Linked DNA regions of Sus scrofa. The protein of the gene in region 2 interacts with the protein of the main gene of each other region in a pairwise test. Links are inferred from orthologs where the notes say so. Each region holds a gene or a part of one and is shown on either strand. Other genes may lie near its edges.

Region 1 (4,269 bases), on a different chromosome or scaffold from region 2:
CGAGTCCAGTTTAACTTGACAAGTAATTTTCCCTTCATGATAATAAAATTGTCTCAATATTTAAAATTTTTTTATGATTTGAAGAGCCATTAAATTACAATGCAGATGTTTTCATGAGGAACATTTTAATCTTCCTGTATCACTGTGACAACCTGTCTGAGCAGGCAGCATTATTGGTGGAGGTGTAACTATTTGAACTCTCTGACAACTAGGTTCATTTTCATTGTAAAATAACACAGTAACACATTATATGCAGATTAACTGTCTCACAGGCTATGAAAGCAGTTTAAACTTAGCTTAAAAACATCTGTTTTAAACCAAAAATAACTTTAACTTAATCTCAAACTTAAAATAACTTTGCTTTAACTTAATCCTTTCTATCAAGTAAACCAAGGCAGTTTGCTGGGTTGGAACATTACCTCTAAAGCCACACTGCCGTGAACTTGGTTAGTTGTTTCTTGGGTCGTGTTATTGATTTCTCTTGTGTGTTTTCTTTCCTGCTCCTTTGTTAAGTTACACCTGTTCTTGAAATGCCTGGCTTAGTGAATGTGTCATGAGTTCAAAGCAATTAAAGCGTGGGTTGCTATAAGCCTGAAAACAGTATTTAAAATAGAAACTATAGTATTCCCAAAGTTGAAAACACGGTTTTTGTGGGTTTTTTTTTTCCTATCCTCACCTTATACCAGAAAGGATTTGAAGCTATTCAGCAGACCCTAGCTTAGTAAGATTATGGAATTGGTAAAGAAAATAAAGGAAAGGAAGGTAGGAAAGGAATACAGATTGATAGCCTCGGGGAATGGTAAGTAAATAGAGCATCAGGATTTGTAACCGCCAAGGTGGAAGGGGACTTGACTTTCCCTAGGTGCCGGTGTGCCCGGGTCTGCTGGGTGCTCTAGGGATGAACGCACTCCTCACTGAAGGCTCTGAAAGACTATATACCATGGGGCTGACCAAACTCTCCTACGTTTTCAGTTGTTTACATAGAGAACGTTATTACTTCATAATTAGATTATTTGCCGAATTAGTAGCTGTCTTATTTCAGCATGGAGACAGCTGTGCGAATCCTCTGCTTGGGCGGCTGTTGCATTCTTCACAGCAAATTCCAACATGACAGGTGCAGGTGGCTGGTCTTAGTCACACCGAGGAGGAAATTGCAGGGTTTAAAAGGCTTTCCCTAATCTATCGCTATTATAAATACTCAGTTTAATATATGAATTTCTCGGTAGACTGAGAGAACAAATTAGCAGATTTCCTTTGTATGTGTTTAACTTACCGGGACTCTAATTAAAACCTTAACTATCTTTTATTGCCACCACCAGAAGCACCTGCGGAGCCGAGCAGCTCCCAGCACCAGGCGGCCGGTCTGCGGCGCGGCTCCCAGCGGCCTCCCCCGCACCCGCCGGAGGGCGTGCGCATGCGCGGCCGCGGCCCCGCCCGCGGTTCCGGCTCGGCGAGACGGAGTGCGCACGCGCGGGCGCCGTCGGCGCTCGGGCCCGGCCCCGCGGGACTACGGCGCACGCGCGGACGCGGGTTGTGAGGGGCCGAGGCGCCGCCTCTGCCTCCCCGGGTCCCGGCGCGGCGCGCGGGGCGTCTCGTCGCGGGCTCGTGCGCGGGGCCTCGCTTCACAGGGCGTGGTTTCCCCTCACGTCAGAGCTTCTGAAGGAACAGGTCAGTGGTTTTAGAGGCGAGAGGAGCGCGCCGGCCGGGGCCGGGCGCCGGCGCGGGTACCCGCTGGGCCCCGGGGGCTCCCCGCCGGCTCGCCGCGCCTGGGCCTGGACGGCCTCGGGGGCAGCGCTGGGTTTTGTCCACGGGGAGGGAGGGTCGTGCCTGAAACTTGACCTGTGGAAACAGAACTTTGTGTGTTCGAGACGCGGGTGGACCTGCACGTTGCCTTTTGCGTCGTGGGTCCCACCATTTAAGTAGTTTCAAGTCGTGCGAAGCAGCACAGCCCCGCAGGGGCCCGTGAATCCCTCGGATGCTTCCCCTTAAGGCGTCGCCCCCGCTCGTGCAGTTCGCTCCGCAGGCCCCAGTCTGCATCCTTCGCCCACCCTCGGGGCGGAGGTGAAACGCCGGCAGCTGAGCTGCTCTCACCTGCCCCCACGTGCTCCCCAGGTGCTCTCAAGGCATAAACGGTGTCCTCCAGCCTGTCCACGGTCATTCGCCTGCCCTTCTCTCTAAAGCAGGGTCTCTCCCCTGGCATCCTAGCGTCAGTGACATTTGGGGCCGGGTAGCTCTCTGTTGTGCAGGGTGGTACTCCAAACTGTACGATTTACCAGCATCCCTGGCCTCTACCCGTTAGATGCCAGCACCACCCTCCCCAGAGAAGCGCTGATCTAGAGTGGGAGCCACATGAGGCTCAGCATCAGTTTAAAATGTAAATACAGCACTTCCAGCTCTTTGGACTTAAAACGTCACAGCACTTTCAACAAGCCGCTTAGAAAATACTGACATCATGCTAAGGATATGATAAAGGGTGGGCCTAAGTAAAAAAGGGGTAGCAGGTTAAAACTAAGGTTCATTTAGCTTTTAGCAGTGCCCAGTTCTCAATGCTGATACCCCAGGCCGAAACGAAGCCTTAGAACTCGGCCCATCAGCTTGCTGTGCGATGACTGCCGTGGCTCAGCCCGCGTGCACTCGCACTGATACTCCGTCCTGTTCTCCCTTCTCGGGGGACTCCCACCATGAGTGTGCTGGCCCCCCTGAAGGTGTACCCCTCTTTATTCCATTGTGTTCACTCGTCATTGTCTTAACTCTCCCTACATCCTTTGGTTCTGTTAGCATCGTTAGGAAGTTATTTTAAAGTCTTTGTCTAGTGAGTCTGCCATTTGATCTGTTTCAGGGATGTGTCTGTGCCCTTGCACAGTTGTGGTGGTGGTGGTGGTTGTGAACTAATTCTACCCCTTCTCCAGGAATTGGTGTTTTGTTGTTCTATTATTACTATCACTGCAGGCTGTTTTTGTGCTAAAGATTAGCCTGAAGAAGCCTAAGTTCTTCCTAGACATGCACAGCGACTTTCTTAATTTCCTCCGTGTATTCCATTGCTATTTAGGATGGTCTGGTCCTCATGTTTCTGGCCCCAAAAGGGAGAAAAGAGAAAAAGGAAAGTGGGGAGGAGGGGCTAACGCCTTAAATCCTGTCCGAGGTGTCTCTGCTGGAGGGAAGTGCTTGGTGGTGGGAGCCTTATAGTGACGTCCCCCTGCCTGACGGTGTCTCCGTGCGCAGAAGTAGCTGTCAGCCACCAGGTCACAGGCCCCGTTACCTGAAGGACAGGGTCCCTGTTGCCCACCGTGCTCCCAGCGGTTGCAGACAAGCTGCTCCTGGAGCTGCTGAAACTGTGTTCTTGGATTTTTGCCCATTGGCATCCACAAACTACAGGGCCAGCTGATGGCCAGAGTTGCTCATGTGTTCCCTGCCAGTCAGTCCTCACGGGCACATGGAAGTCCTGTCACACACCCCCAGCCACACATCACAGAAGGTGTGTTTTCTCTTGCTGCCCCGTCTCAGCAGTGAAGGCCTTGGCCTGGTTGTCTCTTTGTTGCTTTGTCCCTGCACGGACCAAGCTTCATGCGGCCTTTCAAGGCGCACGGCGCCTCTCCTTCCCGTGAGAACTGTGACTAGCGTTCTGCTCTTGTTTCAGGAACACTGGCCTCTCCACGTCCTCACTCAGCTGTAAAGTTGATCCCTGAGCTCCACGCAGGAGCTCGTGCACAGCTTCCTGTCACAGGAATGAGGAGCCACTGCCCCGTTAAATGCCCAAATTGACTGAAATTAACCACATCTAAACTCTTTCCCTTGGCTCTGGATAGACTCTAGTGATCCAGGAGAGTCCCGTTAGACACGCGGTGCCGGTAAAATGACCTAGGTCCAGAGGGAGTCTTCCCGGAACCATCTAGTAACCTGTACACGTCCGTGCTCATGGCTTCCACGTTGACGTTGCAGCCTTTAGAACTGCCTCGCCTTTCTGACCACTTTCTTTGGAAGCTGTAAATGATGGATCTGCTACATCTGTGTTGCAGTCTAGGGTTGATACAGTGATAACTGTATTTCCTCAAATCTGAAAACATGCTGACTAGTAAACTTATACTCATTTTTTTTTCCATGGCACATGGAGGTTCTCAGGTTAGGGGTTGAGTCAGAGCTGTAGCTGCCGGCCTGCACCACAGCCACAGCAGCACAGGATCCAAGCCACATCTGTGACCTACACCACAGCTCACGGCAACGCTGGATCCGTAACCCACGGAGCCAGGCCAGGGATTGAACCTTCGTCCT
Region 2 (2,720 bases):
TTGGGTGTGGCTGTCAATTTCTGGAACCAGTCAGTTTGTGTGAAAGCGCAGAGGTGGGGTCTACACGAACACACCCGTGAAGGCTACATCAGTCATAAGGGGAATTAGGGTCCTTCCTGGACAAACAAGTAGAAAGACATCATACTAGTCTGTGCTAATAAATACAGCAATCTTTGTGTGATGAGATCCTAATCAAAAAATTAAAATTACATCAAAATTACCCAAGGGAAGTAGAAAAACCAAAATCAATGACCATTCAAGCACCTAACAGTATCATTAGTACATTGTCTTCAAGAAAGTTTCAGTTGTACATGTATTGACTACATTCTGCATTTTTCCTTCATAACCCCCTGGACTTGGCAGTCAGGAAATCTTTTTTTTTTTTTTTTTTTTTTTTTTTTTTTCCCCATAGCAGGCTACGGGTAGAATTGGAGCTACGGCTGCCAGCTGACACTACAGCCACAGCAACACTGGATCCAAGCCCTGTCTGCAACCTACACCATAGTTCATGTCAACATCAGATCCTTAACCTACTGAGCAAGGGCAGGATTGAACCTGCATCCTCATGGATACTAGTCAGATTCCTTTCCGCTGTATCACAATGGGAACTCGCAGTGAATCAATCAATTTTTATTGCTATCTTTCATGATTCTGATATCCCGCATCTTTTTCAGAGTTGACACATTTTCTTGGGTGACCCTGATTGTTCTGTCAGTTTAAATTCTCACACTTGTTATCCAAAACCCAAGCTTATGTGCCAACCTGGGCCTTTCTCTGAAACTCACATCTAACTTGATTCTACATATACCCAATTGAACATTTCCTAAGAAATTCAGCTTCAGCATCTTGGAAGCTTAAGTTTCCATCTTTCCTCTTAAACTTGCTCCTTGTCCAGTGCTCACCCATGTCGCTCCTCCCCCCGGCCCCAGGACCGCCTCCTTAGCCCAAACTGGACGACTGTGGGTCATGAGGCCAGTATTCCACTAGGCCCCCTACCCCTTTGGGACCTCAATACACCCCAGCCCTCCAGGCGCCCCGCCCCTACCGCCAGCCGGCAGGGCCCCCACAGACCACGGATGCGCAGGCGCACTAGCCTGTCCCGCCGCCGCCCCGCCCCGCCCGGCCGCTGCGGAAGGCGCCGCGCGCAGCAACGCGCACTTCCTCTCCAGGAGTCCACCGAGGGAGCGCAGAGTCGAAGAGCTCCTGGACGCAGCGGCCGAGCCCTTGCCAGACGGAGCAAACATGTCCGAACAAAGTAAGGACGTGTGTGACCCCAACTTTGCAGCCGATGCCTCCCACTCCGAGGTGCACAGCAGCCCTGGGGTGGCCGGGGGGCCCTCTCCGCCTGCGTCCCAGGCCGCGACCCTCGCAGGGCCAGAGATCCCTCCTGTAGGCCCACCCGACGCCCCTCTGGCCTCGCCGCCGCCCCAGGCCCTGAGCGAAGAGGGAGACCCAAAGGCTCTACAGCAGGCCGCGGAGGAAGGCCGCGCCCACCAGGCCCGGAGCACAGCCCAGCCCAGCCCAGCGCCGCCGGCCCCGGCCCAGCTGGTGCAGAAGGCACATGAGCTCATGTGGTACGTGCTGGTCAAGGACCAGAAAAGGATGATCATCTGGTTCCCAGACATGGTGAAAGATGTCATCGGCAGTTACAAGAAGTGGTGCAGAAGCATCCTGAGGCGCACCAGCCTCATCCTCGCCCGAGTGTTCGGGCTGCACCTGAGGCTGACCAGCCTGCACACCATGGAGTTCTCGCTGGTCAAAGCTCTGGCGCCTGAGGAGCTGGACAGGGTTGCTCTGAGCAACCGCATGCCTATGACAGGCCTCCTGCTGATGATCCTGAGCCTCATCTACGTAAAGGGTCGCGGTGCCCGTGAGAGTGCTGTGTGGAACGTGCTGCGCATCCTGGGGCTGAGGCCCTGGAAGAAGCACTCCACCTTTGGAGATGTGAGAAAGCTTATCACTGAGGAGTTCGTACAGCAGAACTACCTGAAGTACCAGCGCGTCCCCCACGTCGAGCCCCCTGAGTATGAGTTCTTCTGGGGCTCCCGTGCCAGCCGTGAAATCACCAAGATGCAAATCATGGAGTTCCTGGCCAGGGTCTTTAAGAAAGACCCCCAGGCCTGGCCTTCCCGCTACAGGGAAGCTCTGGAAGAGGCCAGAGCCCTGCGGGAGGCCAACCCCACTGCCCACTGCCCCCGCAACAGTGTCTCCGAGGACTAGCAAGGTCTGGAGGCAGATTGATGGTTTCTGACCCTCACCAGGGTGGTGGAGGGGTGGGGGTGGGACATTAGAGTATTCAGGATTTACAGTGCAGTATTTCACGTGTAACTTTTACGTTTTCAGTACAGTGCTTTTATACCTTTTAATGCAATGTTGTATTCATTTCAGTAATAATTAGGTAGTGTGTAGGATTCATGCATGTTTGTTTATAAGTAAGCTCAGTTGGTGCTTTCGCTTTTGTGCTACCTTTCTTGAATTTTTTGTACCAGAGACGTGCTAAACTTATGAAATACATTGAGACATTTTCCATCTTATTCTTTTACATGGGACTGATGATGTGTATGGGGGTAGACAGGTACTAGAGAGTTTGGACGAACTCACCAGTAAAGCTGGTCTAACCAAGAGAAAAGTCAAGACCTCTCTCTCTGTGATCTTGCTGGGCACAGGAAACATCTGTCTGGAGTGTGGTGATGTGGACTTAAAGGGGCTCAGTATGGACA
Region 3 (4,256 bases), on a different chromosome or scaffold from region 2:
GCCACTGGATTGGGAGGGGGCTCAGTCTCATCCATGGAGGTCTCCAGCTCCCTGAGAATAGAGCCGATGGTGGTCGACAGGGAGAAGTCCTCCTCGCCCAGGAAGAGGGGCTCGGGGGGCAGGGCAGGTGCAGGCGTCAGGCAAAGCGCTGCTTGGAGTTGTTGGAGGGTGTTGTGGATGAGGACATGCCTTCGAAGGCTGGGTGCTCGGGGGCCCAGGCTTCGCTGGACTTTGTCTAGGGAGATGCGGAGCAGGGCTTGCTGGTAGCTCCGAAGGCCTGTGGGACTCCAGTCCCACTTCTCATCCTCTTCTTCCTCCTCCAAATCTGAGTGTTTCCTCTTCAAGCCTACCATGATGCCCTGTGGTAAGAAGAGGGGCAAGTGAGACACAGCAGGGTTAGTTCAAATCCTGAATCTCCTGTATGGCTGTTGATTTTTAATGGCCCAAATAAATCTCACAAGGCTAAGGAAGAGAGTATATGTATGTGATTAACAAAACAAGATCTGGACGCAAGACACAGCTGGGTTTGAATCCCACTTACTGGCCCATGTGGCCTCCAGTAGTGAATTTACTTCCTTGAGACTCAATTTCCTCATCTACAAGGAATCTTAATTCAAGTTCTGGAGTCTTAAGGCTGTTCTTTCACAATACTCTTATTTTCAAACACGACACACACAAGACAGATACTGAGTACAGACACCTGGCCTGCAAGTAGAGATTCCTAGGGTTGACTTCTGCCTTTCACACTGCTCAGCTGTGAGATCTTGGGAAGTGATACTACACGCACAATGAACAAGAGTTCATTGCCAGTTATTTATTGAAAAAAAATTTCTTTTTAGGCCGGCACCCTGTGGCATATAGAAGTTCCCAGGCTATAGGTCAAAATCGGAGCTTCAGCTGCTGGCCTACACCACAGCCACGCCAGATCCTAGCCACATCTGTGACCTACACCGCAGCTCACGGAAACGCCTGATCGTTAACCCACTGAGCAAAGCCAGGGATTGAACACCAGTCTCATGGATACTAGCTGGGTTCCTTACCGTCCAGTCACAACGGGAATTCCTCATTCAATATTTTTATTTGAGGAGTTCCCGACGAATCCGACTAGGAATCATGAGATTGCAGGTTCGATCCCTGGCCTTGCTCATTGGGTTAGGGATCCAGCATTGCCTTGAGCTGTGGTGTAGGTCGCAGACAAGGCTTGGATCTGGCGTGGCTGTGGCGAAGGCCGGCGGCTATAGCTCGGATTAGACCTCTAGCCTGGGAACCTCCACATGCCGCGGGTGCGGTCCTAGAAAAGACAAAAATATATATATTTCTTTAATTTGAAAACAAAATGAAACAAAAAATAAAATACAGGTCCACAATCACTTAAAAAATTTTTTTTTTGAATGTCTACTATATTCTAGCCACCTGGAACCCTGATAGGGAACCTATCTGTGGAGACTCTTCTTTTACAGAGAACAAATATTTTTCCTGACTGGGAGCTCTCGCAACAACAGTGAAAATACCTCCCTCACTCCCTCTGTGGTTGCCTTCAGGTTTCTCCAGCATGAGTCCGGTAGGAAAACTCGCCAGAACATTACTCACGCCAAGCCCCGCCCCCGACCAGCCCATCCAACCAGGCCCCCGCTCTCTACAGGCCCCGCCCCCTCGACGAAGTTCGAGTTCGGAACCCAGACACGCCCCAACTTGGTCCTTGGGGCTTATGGGAAATGTGGGCCAATAGCCTCCAGGTACACGTACTGACGTTGAACGCGCACTACAACCCCCGGAGGGCTCAGCAAGCCGCAGGGACGCACCTTCCCCGCCTTCCCTTAGGGCATGCGCAAAGCGGCCCGTGGTGGGTGGGGGAAGGGAACCCGGACGTCCAGCTGCCCGGCGCCCGCCGAGCCCCGCCCTCCGCTGCCTTCAGGGCTGCGGGTCTGAGCTCCACGCCCGAAACACCCCTCCCCCACCCGACTCCGATTCTAAACTGCTTTCTACCGGTCCTGCGGACCGTAGAAAGTCCCAAATTCTTCCATCAAACTACTCTCGGGTCCAGAGACCCAGGCCCCAACACATCGCTCAAAGACTTACAAATGCTCTCCGATGCGCTCTGTTCGGGCCGCTAGGTATCTGAATTTTGAGACCCTCCCCGTCAACTTTCCCCTATTCTCCGGTCTTTCAAATGCTTCTCAACCTCATCTCCGACTCCCCCTCCGGCTCCAAGACCTGACTGGGAACTCTCCTCTCCCCAGGACCCCTCTCCACCACTGCGTCTAGGAGATCGAGTCCTTGCCCCTATTTCTTTCGCTTCTCCAAATGCTCGGGATCACAGCGCAACGCCTCAAACTTTTTCCTGAACAGTAGTGCCCGACTTTAACTCGTCCCGGAGACCTGAATTATCCCAATCTTCAGATTTCCTGCCCCCAAAAGTTCCTTCCCTAGTTCTCTCGCTTCCCAAACACCCCGTGTCCCAGCTTCAGACTCCCTCCACTTGAAGACCCTGTCCCCAAAACTTCGCCTTCCTTTCAGGATCTCGAAACTCAGTCTCTCCAAACCTGCGCCCCCTACTCCCACCCATACCCCGCCTCCACAACTCTCCGGAGCGCCTCCACTTCCCTCAACCCAAGGCGGATCCCAAGCCAGGCAGCCACACCTCACCTCAACTGCCAGGTTCGCAACAACTACCTCCGGGAACGCCCGCGGCTTTGCGACCCTCCTTTGCGAGTGCTGGGTAGGGGCCGCGCTCACCACCCCGGGGCCTCTCGGTCTGGCCTCAGGCCCACCCAGCTCCGCCCGGAGCCGAGCCGCGAACCATGATTGGCTGGAGTCCTGCCCACCGCAGGGCGCGGATTGGCTAGGCGGAGCTACCGCCTGTCGCCTGGAGACGCCGGACCCGCCTTCCCCTCCTTCGCTCCGCGGACCTTTTAAAGGATTCTGACTTGCCGGGAGGCAGGGCCACCTCTCTAGGGTGGATGTTGCACCAAAACTGTTTCTTTCAACTCGGCTACTGTCCTCGCTCCAAGACCGTCTTCATTGCTCTCTGCGACCCCTTTATACCAAGCCTGGACCCAGTCGCGGAGGAAGATTGACAGGCACGCCCGGCCCCACCCCGCTTACCGGGAGGACCCCGCTGCGCCTCTCACGAAGGCCGCGCCCCTAGCTTTGGAGGGCGGACCCTGCGGAGGAGGAGGATGACGCACCGAAGGCCAGCCAATAGTTTGGTGCGGCCTGTGTTGCCTGGGAGATCTTAGCCCTTCCTCCCTCAGGATGGCACCCCTGCTGCGGGAAACTCGCTCTTGGCTCCCCACTGTCGTGGGGACAAAGTCCAAACTACTTTTTTTTTTTTTTTTTTTTTTTGCCTTAAAGCCCTTCAGGTCTGGCTTGATGCACTCTCCCTTGCTCTCTACAATCCTGCCGCACCGACTGACTCACTCTTTCTAAAATGGCTCCACCGCCGTGAACAGAGATTCGGTTTTCTTCCCTGCCTTATCTTCAGTGCCTACAACAATGCCAGGTTCGTATCAAGTTCTCGAAAATGAGGGGGGAAAAAAAAAGACCTCTGGCACAACATTGTAAGTCAAAATCAAGGATACTTTTAAAAAGACCTCTGGATCTTGAAACTTTTTCCCATCCTGAAAATACGCCCTCAATTCCCAGGCTGCCTCTTGAGTCAGAACTCTTCTCAAAGTTTTCCTCTCAGTTCTGAGGCTCCAGGGATGGTCCAGACCCATTCTGGCCTCCCACAGGGTCCTGTGCTTCCCTCATCGCGACCCTGACTCCTTTGCCTGAGTCTCCCCGACCTTGGCCCTGGCCGTCACTGGATTGTGGGCCTCCTGGGGACACGTACCAATGTTATCTCACTGCTTGGTCCCCAGCATCACCTAGCACAGGGCCGGACACAAGGCAGGCGCCCAGTGAAAGAAAGTTTGTTAAATGCAGACACTGTAACAGAAGAAATAAAGCGGGAGGAAATGAGTGCGGCCGGTGCCCAGAAAGCCTGAACCAGCCCTGCCCCACCCCCACAACACGTTCCCGCCCACGGGAGGAGAGAGTTTTCTCCAGGCCGCTCCGGAGAAGGAAGGTTTAAGGCTCTTTGGACCAGTCCTCGCCGGTTGGAATTTGTCAGTCATGTAGTCCAGCTGTGTGGAGAAGAGTATAGGATGGGAATGGATTTGGGGTTGGGGGAGAGCTTTGGGGGTTAGGTAAGCGAGGAGTGGTTTGCTCAGTCCTGGGAAAGGTGTCTCTGGGGGACAAAGGTGGGGGAGAGT
Region 4 (4,132 bases), on a different chromosome or scaffold from region 2:
AGCTCCCTCCAAGGGATCTTCTCTGGTAGCCCCAAGTTGACTCAAGCCCTTCTAAGGGGGGTAGGGGGGTTCTCCCTTGTCTAGTAGATTCTTCGAGAGTTGGATGCTTTCCCACCAAGCGTGGAGCTCTCCGCATCTCACCTCCTCAAGGTGATGCTGATACCAACGACAGGTTGGAAAGGAATGGGGCTCCAGAGTCCCCGGGTCCCCGATTCCATTCTGCCCGGTTTGTGCAAGCCAGAACCTGGGTGCCTCCTGCTCTCCCCACCTTCACTCCAGCAGGGTTGTCCTCTGTGCCCACCCCTCTTCCGCTCCAGCCATCACCCTAATCCCTGCTCCAGCCTCCTCACTGCATCTTCTCCCGCTCGCTCTGTCTACACCTTCTGCCCTGATGCCCCCACTCGTCTCAGTCTGAGATGTAAGACGCGGAGAATCCTCCGTCCTGGCGCAGACTCATAATGTCTAACCAATTAATTTCCACCCAAGACAACGGCAGGTCCAGAGTCAGTGGCCCGTCTGGCCATCAGAATCCCTGACCATCTTCCGCGCGGGCCCCCGGCTCCCCAGCGACGACGGATGGGGCAAAAGTGCGGAAAGTTCCAGAACCTTGCTCCCCAGACTTCAGTCCCTACTCCACCATCGTACCCGGGTGGCCCGACACTCTGGCCTCGATGTCCCCATCTGTAACACGGGAGCACAACTGGGAGTTGGCCAGAGGATTAGAAGAAGGACATGAGACCAGAGTTCTAGCCTGACAAAGTGTGCTTATCGGGAATCGTTACTTTCATCGGCGGCGTACCCACCTCCCGGGCCAAGTCCAGCGGGACCACGCGCATCCCACGCCCGCCCGCGCGTCCCCGTCTGCGCACCTACTACGCGCCCGCCCGCGCCCCGCCCCCGGCCCCGCCCCGGCGCCCCCGCCCGCCTGGCTCCACAGCCAATGAGCGCGCGGCCCCGCATCCGGGGATCCCGGCGCGGCCGCCGCCTCCCGCGCACACACGGCCATGGCGGAGGTGAGTGAGCGGGCCGGGGAGCCGGCCCCCGCCCCAGCCCGTGTCCCCGCCGCCCGACCCGGCCGCGTCGGGGCCCCGGGCGCCAAGGACCCCGGCCCAGGGCTTGGGGCCGGGCCGCGGCGCTGCTCCCGTCGGGGCCCGAGGGGCACGGGGTTCCGTCGCCTGCCACCCCCGGCCTCGGCCCCCCCTCGAGGCTGCCACATCGTGGGCGGCAATGCGCATGTGCAGGGCGGGGGCGCGGGGTGGGGAGGGGGCGGGGTGGGGCGCTCGCCCGCGGGTTCCCGCCCCCAGCTCGCCACCCCCGGCTCCCGCCCGGTGTGTGCCAACTTCGCGGAGCGCTCTCTCTACCCGGACCCCGCCTTCGGGACCCCAGCCCACAGACTCCCAGGGCGCTGAGCCGTGGAGTTGCGCTCCCTCCGGACCCCTGGCAGGACTCGAGGTCCTACCTGGGGCTGGCTCGCGGGCAGCGAAGGGCTTCCTTTACCTACGCCTTGAAGTTACTCACTTTTCCAAGCTTCCTCTCTGTTCGGAGAGCAGGCCCAAGACCCCTTGCCCCCTGTCCTTGGGGCCAGATAGATTTTGGAATTGAGTTTTTCGGATTTGAGGACTCGTGGTGTTTGGGACTATTATGCTTCATCAAACTCACCTAGGATTATAGGGGTTAAGATAGCAAATTGCTGCATGTCGCGTCAAGCCAGGGATGAAAAACTTTCACTTTGAGGGCTTTTTTGCATGTTGGATAAGAAGGTGGGAACCTGCTGTCATCTTATGAGGCCCTAGTGAAGATGAATGATGCACCTGCTATGGACTCAGTCACTGTGAGTCTGAGCGTTCTGTCTGGGGATGCGGAGCAGGTCCCTGGCCCCAGCAAGTGATCCTCACCCAATGGGGAGGCTGCCCAGGCCCGGGGAGGAGCAGGCACCGCCTGGTGAGGAGCATTTTCGGTTGCTAGGCCTGGTTGTGGGGCTAAGTTGGGTGTTTACATCTTGGCACATCGTGGGTAGATGGCTGTGGAGGGCGGAACTGGCCATTCTTTCCCACCAGTGACTTTCTCAGGGGCAGTAACAGGCCCAGCCTTTGCGCCAGAGAGGGTGTGGGCATCTTAGTGGAGGGCCGGGCCTTCCTAGCCAGTTTCTGCCTTATGCTGGGTCCAAGGGGTCTTTCCAGAATAGTTCTGCTTCCATAGGGGGCATTTAGGAAACTCGAGTTTCCCAGATAGGGGCTGGACTTGTGGGAGGGAAGCTCATGTAGGGCCTCCCACTGGCCCAGCAGGGGTATGGTGGTCTGTGTGGGTCTGGCCCAGGGGCCTGCAATCTTGGCCTGGCAGGTGGCTGCGTGTCACAGGTGGGTGGGGCAGCCTCCCCAACCAGCCTGCCCTGAGAGCTGCTGGGTTTGGCTGCTGATTCTGCCCTGCCCAGCGTTCAGCCCCTGGAACCCTCATGGCAGCTGGTGTCCAGTTTGGTGTGGTGCCTGTTGAGTGAATTGGTTTCTGAAAGAAAGCCTGTATGTCTGGCTCTGTGGCAGGCCCTGAGGGTCTGGCTGTGAGGAGACATGGTCAGAGGGAAGCTGGTCAGTAAAGGATAAGAGGTGTGCAAATGCCAGTCGTGGGCATGGCCAGGCTCTGCCCAGGAGACCTGTTGTGGCTCCAGAGCCTCTTGCTCTGTGTGACCTTGGGCCGGTCACTCTCTGAATGGGGAGATCTCATGAGATCTTGGCTTAGTGCTTGCACAGAGAATCTGAACCTTATGCAGTCACTGAGAACCAGCTGTCTTGAACCCATAAAAATGGTGATTTGTAACCTAGCAGTGCATGCTGATCAATATTAGCTGCCAGATTTTTGTTGTTGGCAAAGCAGCTATCAGCACTGTGAGAGAAGGTGGGGTGCTTTGTACTGTTTTACTTGTGGGTCCTGCCTTAATCTTTGAAGAGCTTTGAAAAACTTGGAGTTCCTATTGTGGCTTAGTAGGTCAAGAACCTGACATAGTATCCGTGAGGATGCGGGTTCAATCCCTGGCCCTGCTCGGTGGATTAAGGATCCGGTGTTGCCGTAGCTGCGATGTAGGTCGCAGATGTGGCTCGGATTCTGAGTTGCTATGCCTCTGTTGTAGGCTGGCAGCTGCAGCTCCAATTTGACCCCTAGCCTAGGACCTTCCATATGCCACAGCTACAGCTGTATAAAGAAAAGGAAAAGAGGAAAAAAAGAAAAACCTGAGTACACCATCTCTGTCTTGTACTTAAAAGACACAGCTTTTTGTTGTCCTTTGTGTCAAGTTTGTCCTCTCCTTGACCCTTGGCCCAGTGATGTGGTCCCCTAGGATTGCCTCTTGTACCCCCCCCCGCCCCCGCCCCAGGCGCCTTTTGTTTCCTTGTGCAGTCTGCACCCTTGGAGGGACCTGATGCACGGTACTGTTCCACAGCCCTTCAGGCCTCTGCCTGGAGACGGCAACGCAGGTCCTCCTTGACCCCCAGTTGTGCAGGCTCCACCCATTTTTCTCCCCTCAGTACTGTACATGTCCAACTAGACTGACGGCTCATGTGTGGACAGGCAGAACCTGTTTGTCCATTGACTGCTGTGCCTCCTGGCCAGAGTGGGTGATGGGTGGGCTGTCAGATGGGGGATGGAGTGCTGGGTGGTCCAGTGGGACCACGTACCTCTGCTGGGTAAGGGTGGAGGGTATCCTGGTTAATACTGCTGCCTGATGGATGAATCACTTTGAAACTCAGTTTCTGGAAGCAGCCATCATTTTTAGTTACCTCTGGTTGTTCTGCAAGTTGACGGGGCTCAGCCAGGCAGTTTTCATTCAGGGTCCCCACAGTGCATTTGGTTGCTCGGCTGAGCCATCTCCAGTGCAGGGAAGCTTCCTCACCCAGGTGTGGCTAAGACGCTGGCTGCTGGCACGGCCTCCCCTGCAGCTTGTGCTTCCTCACAGCTTGGCGGCCAGTGGAAACTGCACTGGAGGGTGCCTGGAATCCCTCCCACCAAAGTCCCTGGCCCAACCAGTGCACAGAGAGGGGGCCTGCAACGGGAGTCTGGGCTGCCTGGGAGCCACCACCTTGGAGGAATGGCTGTCACGTGAGGCTGTGGATGGAGCTGGAGGGAGGGCTGAATGGGAAGCTAC

The links.
Region 1: the proteins of NDN (region 2) and EEF1AKMT1 interact in a two-hybrid assay, tested with the Homo sapiens proteins (2 studies listed by BioGRID and IntAct). The link is inferred for Sus scrofa from reciprocal best matches to the Homo sapiens genes NDN and EEF1AKMT1.
Region 3: the proteins of NDN (region 2) and SERTAD3 interact in a two-hybrid assay, tested with the Homo sapiens proteins (2 studies listed by BioGRID and IntAct). The link is inferred for Sus scrofa from reciprocal best matches to the Homo sapiens genes NDN and SERTAD3.
Region 4: the proteins of NDN (region 2) and MIER2 interact in a two-hybrid assay, tested with the Homo sapiens proteins (2 studies listed by BioGRID and IntAct). The link is inferred for Sus scrofa from reciprocal best matches to the Homo sapiens genes NDN and MIER2.

What each region holds. Positions count from the first base shown.
Region 1 is NC_010453.5:1,092,319-1,096,587, reverse strand, and holds the start of EEF1AKMT1 (protein-lysine N-methyltransferase N6AMT2), read left to right. Parts: upstream 1-1,469; 5' UTR 1,470-1,668; intron 1,669-4,269. UniProt on the Homo sapiens protein: Protein N-lysine methyltransferase that selectively catalyzes the trimethylation of EEF1A at 'Lys-79'.
Region 2 is NC_010443.5:142,411,446-142,414,165, forward strand, and holds NDN (necdin), read left to right. Parts: upstream 1-1,242; coding exon 1,243-2,220; downstream 2,221-2,720. UniProt on the Homo sapiens protein: Growth suppressor that facilitates the entry of the cell into cell cycle arrest.
Region 3 is NC_010448.4:48,709,951-48,714,206, forward strand, and holds the start of SERTAD3 (SERTA domain-containing protein 3), read right to left. Parts: upstream 2,801-4,256; 5' UTR 2,647-2,800; intron 360-2,646; 5' UTR 354-359; coding exon 1-353.
Region 4 is NC_010444.4:77,911,799-77,915,930, forward strand, and holds the start of MIER2 (mesoderm induction early response protein 2), read left to right. Parts: upstream 1-1,332; 5' UTR 1,333-1,798; coding exon 1,799-1,831; intron 1,832-4,132. UniProt on the Homo sapiens protein: Transcriptional repressor.